Linked DNA regions of Coturnix japonica. The protein of the gene in region 4 purifies or fractionates together with the protein of the main gene of each other region. This does not show direct contact. Links are inferred from orthologs where the notes say so. Each region holds a gene or a part of one and is shown on either strand. Other genes may lie near its edges.

The links.
Region 1: the proteins of MAP4K4 (region 4) and RAP2C purify together in Homo sapiens (affinity purification with mass spectrometry; 3 studies listed by BioGRID and IntAct, counting the BioPlex papers as one, with this or other methods). This does not show direct contact. The link is inferred for Coturnix japonica from reciprocal best matches to the Homo sapiens genes MAP4K4 and RAP2C.
Region 2: the proteins of MAP4K4 (region 4) and STRN purify together in Homo sapiens (affinity purification with mass spectrometry; 4 studies listed by BioGRID and IntAct, with this or other methods). This does not show direct contact. The link is inferred for Coturnix japonica from reciprocal best matches to the Homo sapiens genes MAP4K4 and STRN.
Region 3: the proteins of MAP4K4 (region 4) and STRN3 purify together in Homo sapiens (affinity purification with mass spectrometry; 4 studies listed by BioGRID and IntAct, with this or other methods). This does not show direct contact. The link is inferred for Coturnix japonica from reciprocal best matches to the Homo sapiens genes MAP4K4 and STRN3.

The regions. Positions count from the first base shown.
Region 1 is NC_029519.1:3,390,373-3,395,554, reverse strand, and holds the start of RAP2C (ras-related protein Rap-2c), read left to right. Parts: upstream 1-1,767; 5' UTR 1,768-1,883; coding exon 1,884-2,156; intron 2,157-3,754; coding exon 3,755-4,033; 3' UTR 4,034-4,074; intron 4,075-5,182. UniProt on the Homo sapiens protein: Small GTP-binding protein which cycles between a GDP-bound inactive and a GTP-bound active form. May play a role in cytoskeletal rearrangements and regulate cell spreading through activation of the effector TNIK.
Region 2 is NC_029518.1:28,887,410-28,891,862, reverse strand, and holds part of STRN (striatin), read right to left. Parts: intron 3,186-4,453; coding exon 3,010-3,185; intron 2,111-3,009; coding exon 2,063-2,110; intron 1,457-2,062; coding exon 1,335-1,456; intron 472-1,334; coding exon 304-471; intron 1-303. UniProt on the Homo sapiens protein: Calmodulin-binding scaffolding protein which is the center of the striatin-interacting phosphatase and kinase (STRIPAK) complexes.
Region 3 is NC_029520.1:30,850,654-30,855,808, reverse strand, and holds the start of STRN3 (striatin-3), read right to left. Parts: upstream 3,448-5,155; 5' UTR 3,255-3,447; coding exon 2,940-3,254; intron 2,816-2,939; exon of another isoform or gene 1,633-2,815; intron 1-1,632. UniProt on the Homo sapiens protein: Calmodulin-binding scaffolding protein which is the center of the striatin-interacting phosphatase and kinase (STRIPAK) complexes.
Region 4 is NC_029516.1:120,422,572-120,427,508, reverse strand, and holds the start of MAP4K4 (mitogen-activated protein kinase kinase kinase kinase 4), read right to left. Parts: upstream 3,029-4,937; 5' UTR 2,970-3,028; coding exon 2,955-2,969; intron 1-2,954.

The DNA.
Region 1 (5,182 bases), on a different chromosome or scaffold from region 4:
GGAGCAGCCTCTGCTCTGCCGCCTGCTGTAGACCCGCTGGCAAGGGCCTGGTGCAGAGCTCGTGCAGAGGCAGTGAGTCACAGCCACCTCTGCTCAGTCATTGCAGCCTGCAGAGGCAGCAGCAGCAGTCGGGGCGCTGCTCGTGCTTTGTCTGGTGAGGAAGTGACTGTACCCTGCCATGGGAGCTGCTCCCTCCCCTCAAGAGCCCGGGCTGCTCCTCCTCGAGCTTCAGGACAGGGCAGTGTGCAGGAGCAGCCCCTCAACTTTGTGAGCTGGGGATTGCAATTAGTCCCGGCCCTTTGCTTGTGCCATCTGTCTGTTCCCCGAACATCCCTGCAGGATGTGTGTCTTAGCAGGTTAATTTAATAACCGCCTGCTTTATTGTTGCTGGCCACGGGCACGGCACGGAGCAGAGGAGCACATCAATAGCACAGAGCAGGAATCAGATCCAGCCCAGATGCTCATTTAAGAGGTTTGTTTTGCTGAGGGAGAGCGAAGCCTCCCATGGGCCCAGCCCTGCGTCGTTCTCCTTGGCAAGAGATGGGTAACAAACAGCAGTGATTAAACCGGGCCACAGACACAGGGAGCGCTACAAAGAGGTGAGGGCAGCACAGAGCAGCAGGAAGGTGCTGCTGGCTGGAGGTGAAGGGTTGGCCATGGACAAACAGCAGCTGGATGAATGGGAGCTGCAGGATGGTCAGGCATTGGAATGCACTGCCCACGGAGGTGGTGGAGTCACCGACCATGGGAGTGTTCAAGAAACGTCTGGATGTTGTGTTGAGGGATATGATTTAACTGGGAAGTATTGGTGATGGTTGGACTGGATGATCTTCTAGGGCTTTTCCAACCTTGATCATTCTGTGATTCTGTGATCAATCCCAGCTCTGTGCACGAGGCCGCCCCAACGCTGGGTCCCACTCTTTGCCCCCAGCCCCATTTCCTCCCTCATTCCTCCACCCCAGCCCCATTTATTTCCTCCCTCATCCCTCCACCCCAGCCCCATTTCCTCCCTCATTCCTCCACCCCAAACCCATTTTCTCATTCATTCCTCCACCCCAGCCCCATTTCCTCACTCATCCTTCCACCCCAGCCCCATTTCCTCCCTCATTCCTCCACCCCAGCCCCATTTCCTCCCTCATCCCTCCACCCCAGCCCCATTTCCTCACACATCCCTCCACCCCAGCCCCATTTCCTCCCTCATCCCTCCACCCCAGCCCCATTTCCTCACTCATCCCTCCACCCGAGCCCCATTATTTCCTCCCTCATTCCTCCACCCGTTGCACACAGGCCGGGCGGCACCACAGAGAGGCGCACACAAGGAGCCCAAGTGACCGTGTAATCTCATTATTATAACCCTCATCCTCATCCTTTCCCCTTGTCTCCCTCCATCAGTCGCCGATTAGAACCGGGCGGCAGCTCTGGACCTGTGAACAAATAACGCTATTTACGCACACAGCCGCGCGGCGGTCGGGCTGTGCTGGTGTTGGAGGTGCCCTGGAGCCCAGCCGGGCACTGAAAGCCCCAGGGGGCTTCAGGGGGGGTTTCAGGGCTGAACCCGGCCCCTTGTTGGCACCGCCCTCCACACGAGGCCCGGCCCCCAGCACCGCCGCCATGTTGGGTCGGCTCCTCGGTGTCACACTCAAATCGTTCCCCCGCGCGCACACCCGGTGCCGCACCCAACCCCGTCCCCATGGGCGCGGTGACGTCACACGCCGGAAGTGACCCGCGCGGAGCAGAGCGGCGGGAGGGGCGCGTCTCCGGTGTCGCAGCGTAATCCTTCCGGGCGGGGCCGGGCGCTGCCGGGGCCGGGGCTATGCGAGGGCCGCGCTGCCGCCTGCCCTAGGCCCGGGCCCGGCGCGGGGGGAAGCGTCGATCGGGGCCCGATGCGGGAGTACAAGGTGGTGGTGCTGGGCAGCGGGGGGGTGGGGAAGTCCGCCCTCACGGTGCAGTTCGTCACCGGCACGTTCATCGAGAAGTACGACCCCACCATCGAGGACTTCTACCGCAAAGAGATCGAGGTGGACTCGTCGCCGTCCGTGCTGGAGATCCTGGACACGGCGGGCACCGAGCAGTTCGCCTCCATGCGGGACCTCTACATCAAGAACGGGCAGGGCTTCATCCTGGTCTACAGCCTGGTCAACCAGCAGAGCTTCCAGGTAACCGGGCTCGGCCTTCCTCACACACGGCACAACCGAGCCCGGCCCCGCTGGTTGTGCGGCTGTTTATGGGGCTGCCCCCATCGCGGAGCCCCGCGCTGTGCTGCACAACAATGACCCGCTCCCACTTCCCTGTTAGAAACCTGCAGGCGAGCCCCTTCCGCGAGGAGATCACTCGATATTAAAACCAACGCTTCCTCTTTTCTTTTTCTTCTTTCTTCTTAAAAAGGCGTTTTTCTTCGGTTGCTTTTGAAGAGAGAATTCTTGCTCCTCACTTAAGACTCGCTCAATCAGATGCCGTTTTCCTCCCCCCCCCATCCCCCCAAATCACGTTCCTGTCCAGCACGAGCTCGGTGCTCTGGCAGCGTGGGTGGTGCACAGAAGAGCAGCGAGCCAGATGGGATCATGCGGGGCTCTGGAGCTATAATGCGGGGCTCTGGAGCTATAGTGTGGGGCTCTGGAGCTATAATGTGGGGCTCTGGAGCTATAACACGGGGCTCTGAGCTCGGTCCTGCTATTAGAGCTCTCAAAAAATGGAAGCGTCGAGGCAGCGACTGGGCTGAGCTGCCTGTGGGATTGAGGCTTTATTTGAAGGGAAACGTGCGTTTAGCAGCGCTGCGTACAATGCAGGGATCTGCATCTGCTGTGTTGGCTTTGCTTTCGGAATTGGGTGTTTTCCAGCTGCTTGGAGAAACCTCGCACACCCCCCACTGAAGCAGAACGGCTGCTTCTATGAGGGCTCGGTTTGGCCTTAGCAGAGGGTTCCATGTAGCTACAGACATGCTCCCTTTGGAAAACAAGGCCGTCGGGATGATTCTCCCTTCATTCTCACGTATTTGGGGACCGGTGTCTCCCCATTATTCAAGAACCGGCCATACACAATCCACCCTGTTAATCTTTAGTTCTTTTTATCTGTCTACAGCATGTTTGCTGCAAAGCCTGTAGGTGTAAACCACCCTACGGGATCTTTGACACAGTGGTGACTTCAGATGCTTAATTGCTTTGTCTCAGAACTATGCAAGAATTTGCAGAACTCAGTGGCTGGCACTGATAGTGACTTAAAACAGTCAGGGGGCAGAGGAGTCTGACTCAGCCTGTGTAAACTAATGTTAGCTCAGGCTTGAATAAATGCATCTCTAGGTAATGCAATCTTCTTGCAGCATCTAATTTGGTTACTTACACGTGATTAAACGTGTTCACAATGAATTATTTTAAGCTCTCCACAAGTGAGAAGGCTATTTAAATTATTGGCTTTCTCAAGCTGTAAACTGAACTCAAACATCCTAATGGCTTTTCAAAGCAGCTGGGCTGTCTTCCTCCAGCCAAACTGAAAGGCTCTCTGAGATTTATGTCTTTATGGGCCTGTTTTATAAAACATAAGCATAGCTGTACATGTGAAGTTAGAAAAAACATTATGAAAAGTGGGTGTAGAACTTCCTGTGAGTTCCAGATCCACATGGCAGTGAGTTTAATGAAGCTTTGAAACGTGTTCAGTATTGAGTAGCATGTGATGGTTGGTTAAATGTGCTTCTGTAGTGGTTGTATAGTGATTTCATGTGATTGCTTGCACACACTAACTGCTTGGATTGTTTGATCAGGACATCAAGCCAATGAGGGACCAGATTGTCCGGGTGAAGAGATACGAGAAAGTCCCTCTGATCCTAGTGGGGAATAAAGTGGATCTGGAGTCGGAGAGAGAGGTCTTGTCTGCAGAAGGCAGAGCTCTGGCTCAGGAATGGGGCTGTCCCTTCATGGAGACGTCAGCCAAGAGCAAAACGATGGTGGATGAACTGTTTGCTGAGATCGTCAGGCAAATGAACTATGCCTCCCTGCCTGAAAAACAAGATCAGTGTTGTACAACTTGCATCGTCCAGTGAGAGAAGTTAAGGAAAACCTCAGTCATGGCCATACAGAGCAGGTTGGTTGAACGGTCGTAACTAACTGAAGCATATAAGCTTTATATTTATTACTGTTTAAGTAAGATAAAATGCGCCAAGGAGCCTGAAATTAAGTGGTGTAGCTTTGGAGGTAGCTTTCCTCTGAAAGAGCTGGAAGTTCGTGAGTTCCTTTGCACGTAAGTACTTGAATCGCACAGACTTGTTGCCTTACTGCAGTAGTGTTGGTTCAGGGAACACTGCCTTTGCTTGTAGCAATTCTGTAGTGCAGCAGAGTTCACAATCTCATCTCCACCTGTTCTGACTGTCAGCACTGCATTGGACATTACTGTATCCTTAATGATGTTTTGTGATATTTTAGTGGGATTCCTCATTGTGTTTGCTATCTGACTTATTTTCAAGTTAATGTGAAGTACCTTGGACTTGAATAGTGTTATATTTGCCCAGCTTTCCATTAATTGCACTGAGAAGACTTTGAGCTTGCTTCAAAGAAAAAAAAAAAAAAGCTGTACAGAAACTGAATGTACTTGGAGCACATTTCTGTCTTATCAGTGAAATAAGTTTAAGAGAACTACCCTGAGCTGTGAGGAGTGGCTTGAAGCCCACATGTACTGGTCAAGGACATGTACAAAGTGTTCTTCATCTAACGACTCCTGAGCAGAGAATACATGATAAAATGGCCTCCCGAGGCCTGACTCTGCTTTCCCAGTGACTCATAAGAGGTGTGGCAAGAGTACAGTGTTCAGAAGGGACCCTGAAGGCTTCACTGGTCTTGGGTATTGCTTTCCTTCTTCTGCAAGGCCCTTTGCCTGCATGGTCATCTTCTGTACCACACCTTGCCTCTCACCCAGCTGTGTATGTGGCTCTGCTCCTCCCGTGCAAGCAGCAGCACGGTCATCCCTGTGTAAGGTGCTCATGAAACCCCCTCCTCTGTTTTCCTTGTTGCTGCTGTGGGTGTGGTTTTACCACCAGCTCAAACCCCTGCTTTTGGAAGAGGCCCCCTGTGCAGCCAGCTGGTCTGTCAGACCCACAGTTGTCTGTTGCATCTGACTCTGCAAACAACTTGATGTAATCTGTAAGGGCAAGCACAGAGATGAAGGACTTGAAAATGCAGGGGAAAGAACTGCCTCA
Region 2 (4,453 bases), on a different chromosome or scaffold from region 4:
TGACAAACCAGTTGCAAGGGCCTAATGGAAACTCACTTTGAATTTGAACTATGGAACAGCTACATTATACTCTGGATCCAGCAATATCAGCAAGTAACCTACAACACATAGTTTTTAGGTATGTGTGACTGTCCGCCTGTGTGTATTTATCAATAATGGCTGGTGTCAAAATCCAAAATCTACTGCTCTTCTAAACAATCATAACAGTATAAAATCCAGTAAACAAACAAGAAAGGATTTCTACTCAGTAGTCAAGATTATGGTAGTCTGAACAGTTAAGCTAATGAACTTAAAATTCCATACCTTGATTATCATTAAATACACTGAGAGCTGGAGCAACTTCTGTAGCTTTCCATAAACGTACAGTGCCGTCTGCAGAACAGGACAGCAAACGCTGGTGTGTGCCACTGTAAACCAGACCCCACACTGCATCAGTATGGCCTACAAAAGCACCTCTTAGAACAGAAGGATCTGTGAACAAAAGACAAACAAACCATATTTCAAAATAAAAGTTGAATTAAGTGAATTGTTTTATCTTGGTCTGTGTGTATGAAGAAGCCGTAACAAGTCAGTCCACAAAAAAAAACCACAAAACAAACAACAACAAAAAGACTAATAGCCAAGACAAGCAGGTCTTATCAGTATAATAGTTCCAATTATTCTATTATTCTTCTTTAATTTCATCAGCACAAGTGGCATTCAGTTTCTCAGTTTGTATTTAATTGAACAAAACAAATTTTCAGCAGAATAAATGGTATTAAAGATAATAAAACAGATTTTGATTTAAAAACTCACTCTTATGGAGCCACTAATGGTATATGTTAGTCTTTTTTCCAAAAGACAGCTTTGAGGCCAATCATATCTGATGCTATGAGATGTGAGGAACATTTTAAAACAGACACAAGGCTGATGCCTATTTATAGCTCATAAACTTTACTGAAATATGTGATTTTAACCGTTTGTAGATAATATTAACAGCTTTGGTCTCAAACTCTACAACCTCTTTATCTCAGCAGCACAGATTTGTAAATGAATATTTATACATACATTTCCTGTCCTTTTTGGGTATCAGGTTTAGTTAGTCCTGTGCTTTTTCAACCTAGTTGTATACCAGAACTGTAATGAGACTGAGGCTCTTTTTAAGAAAATGACAAATACCATCTTCTCATCAACCAACATCATTATTAAAACAAAAATCTACATTAACTGGAGCAAACATTCAAGCTTCTCTTTCACTTTTTCCAAGAAATACTACCTACAAATTATACCATTTTAGCTACACATGGTTAATGTCACTAAATGTGTTCTTTTGCCGGTGTCTGACAGCTATGTACCATAAGAGTCATAGGGGTCGATGTTTGGATTTGTTGTATTCCAGCCATGGATGAGGCCATCAGTTCCCCCACTGTAACACTGTTCGCCATTACTGCTCATCACCACACAAAGCACTGGTCCACTGGAAGAAACCACATGCCAAAAAGTTGACTATTAACATTTTCATTAAGTGATAAATATTGTCATCTTCAAATTTTCCTGTTAAATACAATTAATTTGCTTCACTAGCTGCAATGGAAATTCTGCATTCTCAGATCATAGGCTACACACTACTTCCCACAACAGTATCTCTTCAATATTTGGTAATTTAACTACAGTAAGGACAATTCAGACATTTCATATTTTGAGATTATAGGTTTTATTTTCTTTTTTTCCCTTTATAAAAGTTGAAGATTTTTCTATAAAAACAATTCAGTAGATTTTAATTCACTGGACACAGCTTCATTCTACATATACACATATCTGACAAAAAGGCAAGAGCCTTTTTGAGATGGAAAATCTAGTTGAATGTGAACTGCATAATTTATAGCTTTCTCTTTTATAAATGGTAGTGTACCCAGAGCCAGACAAAAATAGACGAAAATAAGCAGGTATTTTAAATAACATGGGAATAAAAGTACTGCATGGAATCACTAGTTGACATGGTGGGAATGGCTTTAAAATTTTTTGTGTCTGTTTAGAAATCATGTATTTCTCAAATAAAATGGTGTTCTTATAAAAAACTCACCTGTGTGCTCTGAAGGTATATATTGGCTCCACATCAAGAGAAGCACTCCTAAATGAAGTACAAGAAAATGTTAACACACATATGACCTTACATTATGCTTTACAAAAATGTGCCAGAATTAGTAAGGTCTTAAAAATCACTGCTACCTCTTTTGAAATCTCTGCACATCAGTGCAGAGTACATCAGTGGTGGGGAAGGAGTAGAGGGCTATCAGCATCATATGGAGTATTTCCTTAAATGTTACAAATTCCTACCCAAGGAAAGGGTTTGTAATGCCTTGCCTTTAAACCAAAGCTCTAACACAGTTACAAATCACTTAAACTCCTGCTCAGGACTTTACCAGTCAGGTGTTGGGTTGTTTTTGTCTTGTTTTGTTTTATTTAATTACAGACTTCAGGACTACCACCGGCATTGTCCAGTCTTCATAAAAGGTATGATGAACAGCTGTCACTACGTTAGCGTTATTACAAATATATTCGTTTCCTCATGTCCCTAACAATATGAAGGAAACACTGTACACATAAACCTAGCAACACTGCCATCAATGTTTAATTCTGTACATATGTATTCGTGCACATGAGTATACATTTACTTTTTACATATAGCCAAGTTATGCTTATATATTTATACACAGATTCAAGCATACTATGAGGTCACACCCAAATATTTTACTAGTAAATTAGTTTCCCATCTTAGTCTACGCACAAAATACATATATTGAAAAAGAAGGAACGTTTTTTCTTTTTAAAAAATAAAATGAATTCATGAACGTGCATTGATTTCTTCTGGCATGCTCTAAAAGTCTCCATAATTCTCTAAGAGTTTGCTTTTGTACTTAAGGAACAATTTCCGTTAACTCCAAAGGACCACCAGATGAAGCCATATCCACAATTTTATTTAGATAAGTACAATGCTTTAAGGAAGTAAAGAAAAAAAAAAAATCTTACTTTTTTGCTGGGGCTGTTTTTTGTAAATTCCACATTTTTAATGTATGGTCCTCTGAAGCTGTTATTAGTACTGGTTCAACTGGATGAAAAGCTAAGCCTCTTATTCCATCAAAGTGGCTTCTTAATGTGAATTTGGGGTTCCAGGTCTTTCTCAGTGCATCTGTATTGTTTCCTATCTAAAAATAATAATAAAAAGGCCACATTTGTGATTAATCAGATACAAGGAAAGGATATCAGAGCTTTAGTTTGCCATTCTCAGAAGATGACAAATTACCTTTTTTTCATTATAACCTGTTGAATAACAGTCCACTGAAAGCTCATCAGACTACTCAAGTATGAAGATAGATACTCTACAAAGGCAACAAGTCTATCTCTGCAGCAATGCATTCTGTGCAAATCTTAAATACTCCACATGTCTATTAGGTTGCACAAATTAAAGGTTGTAAAGCACCTTTCTGACTAATACTGCTATAAATTTTGGTATTTGAAAGTTGACGTAGCTGTTGGCCCATTCATTAATGCTGGGCTTTAATCAAGCAAACTGCTGTGCCTGAATATCTGAAGTACCACTAACATGTTATCTATCTATATCTAATAGGGATCTAACAGAAATGGAGAGATGTCTAGCAGTGCAAAAAGGAAGACAGTCTAACCTATTCACTTAAGGCAATACAAGTTCTGTGACAGCACACAACAAGATGATCTTGCCAGAAAACAATTTTAAAAAGGCAAAAAAGTCTTGGCTACATACTAAGAATATTACTGGCAAGCACTAAGATGTCATATACACAGAGGTAGCTACTTGGCACTGAATGCATTTTACACAGATCCAAAAAGAAAGCCCTAAAAGATAAACAGTTACTTCAACATTGTTCCTCTGAACAGATGTAGTAAAAGGTCAAATGGACTTCTATGAATTTCTCAACCAAGATTGCCATGGTTAAATTTGCCCTGCTGTAATCACTGCAAACAATCCATTAATAAAGCACTGATATAAACAGTCATGCTTAAGATACAAATACTTTCACTATATTGAAAGCAATGGATAATCCCAAATAATTAAGTTTTATCAACTTCAATAAAGAAATAACTATCATGAGACACTTTGAGAATCTATGTTTTGTTCTAGAATCTAAACCAAAAATAGGTTTAAGAACAAGAGTTGTTCTGTTTCTCTTTCTAGTGTTGCTTTTGGATTTATTAGCTATGATTCACTGAGGAGGTTCTGTAGATTTTAAACAAGAAAGGAGGCATAGCAAAAAGTGGGTTCAGTCTCATTGTTTTACTTTGTAATTATGTACGGTCTGCTCAGTGAGGCCACTCAATTTCTTTGCCAGCCTACTGAGCTCAGCTGGTTCAGTGAGGGAACAGGCAAATGCTGGAGCTGTTGCAAGGATGGGGCAGGACTGCAAAGTTAGCAGCACTGTCAGGTTTCCTGGAGACT
Region 3 (5,155 bases), on a different chromosome or scaffold from region 4:
CTGAACAGTTTGAAAAGACAGTGAGAAAACTAACAGGTGGGATTCAGAGTCTGACACATGCACAGACTAAAGTACACTGGTACAGAACTTATTCAGATCCAAAGGACTGAGGATTGGTTATTATGGCTGTAGTACAAACCTCAAGTTGGTGAAGCAACTTGCAACTGAAATTAATTGTAAAGATGTGCTCCATACATGAGTACTATAAGAAATCTAAAAGTTCACTACAAGATCCAAGAAAGAAAACCAAACAAAAGCTTATGGCAGACCATACGCCCACCTGCCTTGCCCCCATTTGTAAAGAGGGCTCTTTACCAGTCACCTGAACCACAAAGGGGACAGAAGGGGAGAGATGGGAAAAATCACTCAATAATTCCCACCGGTTTAAAACTGCCAATAAAAATCCCATTGTCTGGAAAAAATCTTAAGTTCAGAGCAAGAAAATAAAACAACGTTCTGCTAAGTCATTTGGTTTTCCACATACTCTTTGTAAAGTGTTATTTGCAAAGTTATCAAGTCAACTTAGGAAGGGACCTTTAATTACTAAAGAAGGAAGAAACTACCTGCATGGGTGAGAGCTGCATCTATGAAATGTAGTTCTCATGCTTCTAGCTTCCATATTAATTACTACTGTCATGCTACCAGATTTTTTTCCTGTTCAACTCAGGAGGCTGCATTCACAGATGAACAACAGTCATAGAGGCTTCAAAGGGCAAAGCAGTTGTTTGGGGTTCAAAATGTTTTATTAGTCACAGAATAAACTGGGACTTCATTACTTGAGTTGTAGGACCAAAAAGTAATTATATGCTATAAACATACACACACATACATGAAAACCATAGGGCCTGGTTTTCATGCACGTCCTCCAAAAGAACACGCTTAACACAGTCCTATACTGAACTTAATCACTATGAAGGCTGACATCTAACATGCAAAGGAAACACACTCTCCCTGCCTCCTTCCTGATCACACTTCTATCCTGGGCTTCTGAAGTCAGCAAAAAAACAAAAAAGTTCCCCTCATACACACACACTGGGCAGGGAGCACTGCTCCTGCTTCCCATGACCTAATGCACACACACAGATAGAGTGAAGCAACACATACAAAGCCAGGATCAGAACTAGGATGGCAGATTAAGTAACAAGCAAATGAAACATTGTGGCTGTGAATGACAAACTACAGTTACATAGAAAAAAAAGCAGCAGACTTGGCAGAAACACATCACAGTATCTAGAGGCCACATGAGTTCACACCAGCACTTCCAGTCAGAGTTTTCAACATCTCAAAACTGCACCTTACATTTATAGAACGAGGTACTTCACTGTGAAGTCACAAGCCTATACACAAAACAAGTACTTCAAGATGGTCTTGCTTGATAATGAACACCACTGAGCTATTTATTTACCTATCAATACAGTACTATACTACTGAGACGCTACAGAAGATATGAGAACAAGTCCATTGCTACTGAAAATACCCACCCCATTTCCACCACAGTGATTTTAGGATCAGCTGTTCTGAAAGGTTTAAAATAGTAAATCAGGCAGTAAGTGAAATAAATAGCAAAATCTCTCTTACTATTTATTTATTTATTTTTTTCTGGGGGGAGGAGGGGGAAGGTGTGATGTTTTGTTTTCTTTTATTCTATCTCAATTCAAGCTGTAACAACAACAACCCTGCAAATTACACATGTGGTCTAAGAGTTGAAAAATCCTGAAAGAATTGTCCAGGTTTAGGTAGAGTTCTCCATTCTACAGTCTGAAGATGTACACAGACATACATCAAGATGTACACAGACGTACATCACAAACACTGGCTGCTGCTACAGCATGTTTCCACAAACTGCAGGTAAGGCGTGATTTGATGGAATGCTGCTTCAAGACTGCAAACATTCACCCAACATATAAATCATAACAAGAAACATTCTTTTTTAAACAATTTTAACTGTTATGCTTTCATAGGAGAAAAAAAAATGCACAACTTATAGACAAATGCCTCAGACTCTGTAGATTTCATAAACTGAACATAAGTTTGTGATGCGTGGCTTTATTTTTTATATGAACACGTAAATACAAGAGATCTTTTCCATTATGAAAAGCAAACATTTATGGCCAGAGATCTATGCTGGAACTCAAACACTTGCTCCCTGCCCTCTAGAGTTGTTCAATTTTTGCTCCTGACACAGAGTTTGTATTTGTAGGACAAGGATCACACTGCAGACCCATCAGCTCCTCACTATTCTTCAGCAGTTGCTTCTCCCACGTGAGGTCTCCCAAGAAACAAAAAGGAAGGAAAGAGAGCATGTGTTCGACCTGTCTCCACCGTGAGAACCCGGTCAAGTCCGTTGCTTGCGAGATTTCTCGACCCCGTTCTCAGCGTTCTCCCACCTCGGCAGGCACCGCCGCCTCCCCGCTACCCCGAAGGAGCCGCTCGCTCAGCTCCGGTGAAGCCGTATCCTTCCACGCCCGCGGGCCGCAGCTTTCCCAAAGCAGCACCCAGGGCTGAGCAGGGCCGGGCTCCGAAAGCCCCCGAGTCATTGTGCTCGGGGAGGGGACCGCAGCTGTCAGGGCGCTCCGGGCCCTGCCCCGCACGACCGATCAGCGCGCTCAGCGGCCGCCCGCCCTCCTCCGGCGTTTTGCGGCCCTCGAGGCCCGCGGAGCCGGGTTGGCTCCGGCGCCAACAGCCCAGGCGGGCGCCATGCTAAAAACCAAAATGGCTGCCCCAGGGAAGGGAGCCCAGCTCGGGCCGTGAGCGGCCGCGCCTCCGCCAGCCCCGCCGCCCGGCGACGTCGCTTCGCCGTCCGGCCCTCGCGCAGGTACCGCTCCCGTCCCGCAGCGACCGCCCCGGCCTTGGCGACCCGCCGGCCCCGCTCTCCCGTGCGGCCCCGAGACCCCGAGTCGGTCCCGGCCCCGCGCGCGGAGCCCACCCTGGGCCCGTACCTGCAGCTCGGCCCGCTCCACCTCCCAGTGCGCCCGTTCCATCTCGAAGCGGGCCCACTCGTGCTGGATGTAGTGCAGGATCCCCGGGATCGTGTAGTGCTGCGGCCGGGACAGCTCGGCGGGGCCCGCCGCCTCCTGCCCGCCCGGGGCCGCGGGGCCCTGCGGCTGCTGCTGCCCTCCGCCGCCGGCTCCGGCCCCCGCGCAGCCCCCGCCCGGCTGCAGGTTCGCGTTACCCCCGCTCTGCGGCGAGGGCTGCTGCGGCCTCGGCGCGGCCGCCATCCCGCCGCCTCCTCCGGCTCCGGGGTGCTCGTCCATTGTCTGCGGGGAGCCCTCCTTCTCGTCCCGCGGCGGGGGGCCACGAACGGGGGCCGGGGAGGGGGCGAGCGGCGCTGGCTGCGGCGGGCGGGAGGGGGCGGGCCGGGTACGGGGAGGCGGGGGGCCGCGCCGAGCGGTATCCGGGTGTCAGAGCAGCGCCCAGCCGCCGCCAGCCGCCATTACAGCCCGCCGGGCCTCGGCCCACCCACACGGGAAGGGGGAGCGGCACGGCGCGCGGGGCATGCCGGGAACTCGCTCCCCTCTCCCCTCCGCTCCTTCCTCCCGGCCCGACGAGGCGGCGGAGCGCGCATGCGCCTGGGGGAGGTGAGCGCCGTGACCTGGGGGGGGCTGCGCTGAGGGGCAGTGCGGGCTGATACTGATACTGATACTGATACTGATACTGATGATACCGATACCGATACTGCTCACTGAGCGGGCGGGGGGCGGCCGCTTTGGGAGGGGCTGTAAGGCCGCTCCGGTTGTGCCTCGCCGGGCTGTGCTGGGCGCTGCTCGGTGTGTCTCACAAGTAGGTGGTTCTAGAACAGGTTGGCTGAAAGTGCTCTGGCGGTGCCCGATCCTAATTGTATTGTAATGAAGGTCGTCTTCGTGCTGTTGTAGTTGAGGGGTTTGTGTAATGTTTCCCCTCCGTGATGGGAAGAACGAGCGCGCACATTAGCAGCAGGTTTGGTGTGCCATGGCAGCACAGCCCGGGTTGGCTGCACAGCATGGACGTGGTGAAAGCTGGGCTGCACAGCACTGCCCTGAAATGCAGCGCTACCAAGTGCCCACCACGTCCTGGTGGATCTGTAGGCCGCCCCTTCACAAATAACACACGGGTTCGGTTTTACTTCCCTAAAAATGCATATGCTGTATATATGGGTGGAACATGGATGGTGTCCTTAATGGGCTCGTTCTTGACAGTGCTGTAATTGTATTAAATGCCGAAAAATAAATCCTGCTTGTCCCAGTGCTGGCATTTCCTCTCTGCTGACCTCAGGTGCATGTTGCTGTTTCAGTTGTTTTACCAGTTCCTATCCGACTTTTCTCCATTAAGTCATTTCCTACCATCATTTCCTCAGTCTTCCCTTTTCCACACTGATCAGCCTGTCTGAATCCAACTTTTCCACCTCAGCAGATTTTTTCATTCTCCCCAGACAGTATCAAATCGTGACCAAAAATTGCCCCTTACCTCACAGTCCTCTTGGCCCTTTGTTTTACTCCAGCCCTTGAGACATTCCTCATTGCCCATTACCTTGGAAGTGCTGCAGTTTAGCTCCGTTACTATATTCAGGCAGCATGCTGACAACCGCTCTGCAAAGGAAAACTTTTTTAGCTGCTTCCTTCCTCCTTGGCTTCCCCAGATTAGTAAGGCTGCTTTTCTTAAAATTCCTCATCCTGAAGTTAAATATGGTGATTTATTTCAAAGCCACGTTGACAAAGTTGTTTCATTTCTGGGTGGACAGTAATTTGAAGGCTAAGGCCCAGAATACAAAAATGGTCACTCTTATTGATACGAGTTTTAGTAAAGCCTGTGCACAGTCAGAACAACAACAAAAATAAATAGAACACAGGTATAAACCATATGAACTGTCTTCATTTGCTACATGCTTTTTCACAGCAGACTCGTAGCTGGAAAGTTGATCAGACCAGTGTATACCTCAAAAGTGTTTGCCCACCTGCTGTCCCCTGCTCGCACTGGGCCACTGGGCCATTTTTAATTCCAGGTTAACCTATTTTGTTCTACATTTAGTACAGATAAAACACAATTAAAACCTCTGTGTCCAGAAAATCATCTAATTTATAGACAATGCTGTGAATTATTGACTTGCAGTTCTGTTTAATTCTTGTCAAAATAAATATATATATAAATATAGCCACGTGTTTCTTGTTTGCTAGATTTG
Region 4 (4,937 bases):
CCAAAACTTTCTAAGGGAAGTCTTCACTTTGACTTGGACATTCCTTCTGTTCAGGTCATCAAAGCTTTACAGAGCTGATGTAACCTTGGTGATCATGAGCAGTGCAGGAACTGCAGAACCGGGCCTTGAAAATTGAAAATCTGAGGCGTGTCTACAGAGCTTGCCAACACATTAGGCTTTCTAATTTTTTAAGTGTTTGGCAAAGCAAGCACTGGATCAGAGGTACCTGAGAAAAAAGAAAGTCTTGTGTGTGTTCTCAGCACCAGTTAAACACAACAATCAGATATCATCCACAGCACCACTTAAGCATTAAGTACTGCCAGCAATACACGTACCAAGGCACGAATCATCTACAGCCTCAATAGCTGCCCATTAAAAAAAAAGCATTACAATTTCAGTTTTTTAGGAGAGTGTCCATTCCAGTCTCTTTCCCCCATATATGCACAGATGATAGTTACCATTAGTTCACAAGAGCAGCTCATGAAAATATAGCTAGGAAAGCAAGTGGAGAAGATCCTTGTGTTGAGAAGGTCCTTACATTCTCTGCTCTTAACCATCTTGCTGTCAGCTAGAATGATGATGAAGCTGCTTTAAATGTGATTTGCCAGTAAAGGAGATGCTCAGAAAACCATTCCTTGAGGAAACCAAGCCATACCTGGATGGCAAGGCCATCTTCGGCAGCAATACCACTCGGAGCTCTTTCTTCCCCTACACCTCCATGGTCATCAATGGCTCTTTCCCAATCTCATGCCACTTTCATCACAGTAAAGACTACATGCTAAAATAGAGCAGCAAACTTATCCAGGTTATAAATAACCAGCAGGAAGAGAAAAGTGAGGGAATTTTTAGGGGAACTGAAGGCTGCTCACTGATCTGAGTCACTGCCTGGACCAAAGCCTTGATGCCAGCACAAATACGGGGATGCAGACAGGGAGCCAAGTACTGACTCCAGTAGGAGCGGACAGGAATATCCTATGGGAATATCATCCATGCCTGGTGTTAAAAAGTACAGTTGACTTAGCATGACTTGGAAGAATTTACACCGCATTTTTGGCCTCCAAAGGCTCATTACTTTGAAGTAAAAACACATGAGCTTCAACTGTAGGAACAGCGACGCTTTTACACTGTGTGGGGTTAACATCTCCCAATCCTCCCTCTGGCTGCTATGCAGCCCCTAAGAAAGAATGAGCTTGTGAGGTAGAAGATGGTGCCAATACACAACTTTCAAAACCAGCCCAAATCTGCAGCAAGTTTCAAAACATAAACTATCTCCTGCAACATGAGCTCAGCCACGCTATACCCAGCATTATTCAATTGTTTGCCTTTTGCTGTGCAACCTCTCCATCACAACTGTTTGTGATTAATATATGCTATTAAAAACAGAGGGAAGTGTGCAATACAACCAAGCTTAGTGTTATAGAAGAAACCTTCACTGCTACAGTCCAGCAAGCTGCTCTACTTCACGCTGCTGCACAAATGGAAACATTTGCTGAGCAAAGAGCATTCATTTTATGTCATCGCACCTTCATCCTTCTCTGTTTTGTCTACATATTAACTGCAGAAAAATAGCGCTGCCTCTTGAGAAGGCAACCTTTGAAAATTTCCAGCTGAACATCAGTTTTTATCAGGCCATCTTACAAAGCAAGAATGTCTAGCTCTTGGCAGACACAACTGCTTCAGTTAAGAGATCAGCAGTCACGCTGCTCATCGATCACAGGGAGATCAAGAGATAGAACTGAAGTACTATCAGTTGACCCATCCCTGCCTTCTTGTTTTCCTCCTTGTCCTGCCTGATCACCCATCACACCTCAGTTACTTGCCAGGCAGCTTCTGTCCATTTTGATCTGCCAGGGCCCACACACACAATATCAAAATAGAAAATATTTTGCAGCAATACCCTTGTAAGAGCTTTTTGCTTAATACAACCAGCTTGCCAAAGACCCCTGCTCTAATGCAATGTATACACATTAACCTGATTTTTCCCCTAGTGTCTCTGTAAAACTGAGGAGTTTAGAAAATTAAGATGCTCTGTTTCAGGATGAACTTCAAACAGTGCAGTGTCAGTCAAGCATTGTGGATACTACACAAAAGGATCTAATTCGATTTTAAATCTCAAGCCGTTGCCGAGGTTGTAACTTGGTAAAACACAACTGGAATCAACAGGAAAAAGCCATGCTTTTTCTGGTCTGTTTTGAAGTCTTAATTTAAACTGATTGCTTTTTGAACAGTATAAACTACATGACAGCTCAGGATTCAAGCATGGATGTATATTTTTTATTTCTGTGGCTGGGTTAATTTCCCGTCTTTCTCATCTAAAGCTCCACAGTAAATCCCCTTGGGTCAGTTACAACTACTACTTTACACTGCTGAATTCTGCCAGCAATCTGCTCATCGTTCCTGCAGATGTTTCTGCTTTCAGGCTTCTGGGAACTTTATTGGACCCATTTCCTTTGAATAAATGTACGCCCTTTTTAGGCTGCAAATGTACCAAGGAAACTACTGTCAAGCAGCCTCCTCACCTTCTTTTTTTGGTAAGGCAGATGTATGATGATATATTTAAAAGAAAAAAAAAGTAGGAAGTGGGGAATGTTCCTTTCCTCCCCACTTCTGAGAAGTTTCAGGTAAGGGAGTGCTACACAGAATCAAAGAATTGTAGGAGTTGGAAGGGACCTCCAGTGATCATCGAGTCCAACCCCCTGCCAAAGCAGGTTTCCTACCCGTGCTCCTGGGAGCAGCCACGGCAATTTATGAAAGGCCAGAGGCCCCTCCACACAAGCACACAGAAATCTCATAATGGGTAGACAGGCTCAAGAGGTCAGGCCCTGCAAACAGAAAGCAAATGTTCACTTGCAAGGACCGTGCCCTTCCACATAAACCTGAGGTAAACCGTATGCCGTCTCTTGCCGTCGAATTTTACTCACATTACTAACCAAGCAGAATGTTTCTCTACTCACCTCAGTAACGTCCATGACTTTGATGGCTGCCAACTGGCCTGTTTTGACATGTCGACCCTGAAAAGAGAGAGAAGCATCAGCACCAGCACTTCACCAATCCCTTGAGCACACACAGAGCAAAGCATTTGGAGATCTTCAGCTGCTGGGTTTTGCCCAGCTGTGCTGGACTCTTCCACTATTTCACTTGAAAAGCAACACATACACTAGATAGCTAAAGGAGATTCCTTTTAAAATGTTCTTTAGAAATGTTAGGTCTTTATCTCCACATTAAGAGGATGATCATTAAGATTAAGCACAGACATTACGTTTGCTTCTTTTCTTTCTACTTCAGCAAAGCTCATAGTCAGTACGGATCATTTATTAACGCATCAGAATGTTCAACTCCATATAGCACGTATTTTATTTGTAAGCTTTGCTTTATTTACTGGGTAAATGCACACAAGCTGGGTGACCAAAAAAGTATGTTTGTCTTTGCTTTGGTCTTCACTGTTAGGTAAAACTAAAGATATAAAATGCTGGGGTTTCTTCAAGTGATGTACTGGACCTGAAGAGCTCTCTTTGTCTTGTCTCTTGATGATGAAGAGGATGTCTCCCTTCAGCTACAGCACCATAAGGGTACGGCTCCTCTGTACAGCTTGAGCTGAATTAATAGATCCCAGCTACTGCAGTGGGGAGCTCCTTCCCCTGCCTCCCTCCCTCCCTCCTCCTGTCACATATTTCTCCCATGAGCATCTAGCTCATTCTGGCACTCATCAGATCATATGATAAGCTGATTTAGATCACTGAAATGGCAGAAAGTTAACACAGAAAAAGCAAACTGCGGGGCAGGGAGGAGGAGGGATGCAGATCAGGAAATTAAATGGGCTTGCTCTGCAAGCAGAGCAGAACCAGAGCTGGCACAGGGCAAACCACGTGGCAGGGAGACAGAAGCACAACAGCCCCTTTCCAGCTCCGCTGAGCTGCGACTCAGCACAGCTGATTTGTGACAAAAAAACACTTTTCTCTGGTACATTTTTTGCAGAGGTTGGGGCCATATTGATTAACTCTACTTCTTTTTCTTCTAACGAGCCTTTAGCAATGGTTCCAGCCCTTCACATAACACTGAGTCTGCTTGAGGATGTCCAGCTCAACAGTCCAGCAGTGCTTTACATATTCAAGATCGGCACCCCAGAAGGACACCAAGGCAAACCACCAGTCCCTCTGGACAAATCTCAGCCCCCTCATACTTTGCCATGCCCTCTGCAGAGGTAATGTCCAGGTATTTCTGCTGCATGACAAAGGACTCAGATGAAATGCTGCAGAATTTACAGCCTCCAGCTTCTTTTACAACTTGCATTGCGCTGCACTCTCCCCTCATTAACCAATCCACATGTTTTCTATAAATAAATTACCGTACTCGGGATTCTGCCTGCTCTGTAAAGCCTTGTTATTACACACATTTCTTTTTACAGTTTGCTCTCAAACTAGGCTGGATTTCGAAACAAAATTAGGATTATAACATATGTGCAATGGCCAAGACTGACCTCCCTTTGACCCTGCTACTTCTTGAGGCTTTCAGCAAGCCTTGGGGATCTGCAACTCCAACACCCCACCCTGGACCTCTGCCTAATGACAAAAGCCATGGTGGTCTTGTTGAGATTTACCGTGCTGCCAAGGGACGGGGGGAAAATGCCTTACAATGAGCTGGAAAGACGCCTCCTCTCCCAGCTCTGCCCTTGTTCTCTGCTACTCTGTGCAGAGAAATAAAAGGTCCAAGGATACAGGCAAGCACAGTTTGAGGTACAAAAAGAACACGCTAAAGCTAAGAGTGGAACAAGGACATCTCTGAGAAGGACTAAGGAAAAGGAAACTTTAAAAGAAAAACAGTGAAACATGGTTTGCCAGACTGCAAGAGTGGCACACAAGAAGGAAGGAGCAAGAAATCCTCAGGGTGTCGTTTATTTTATGAGGGAAAAGAAAAAAAAGTTTGCTTTATTTGTCATT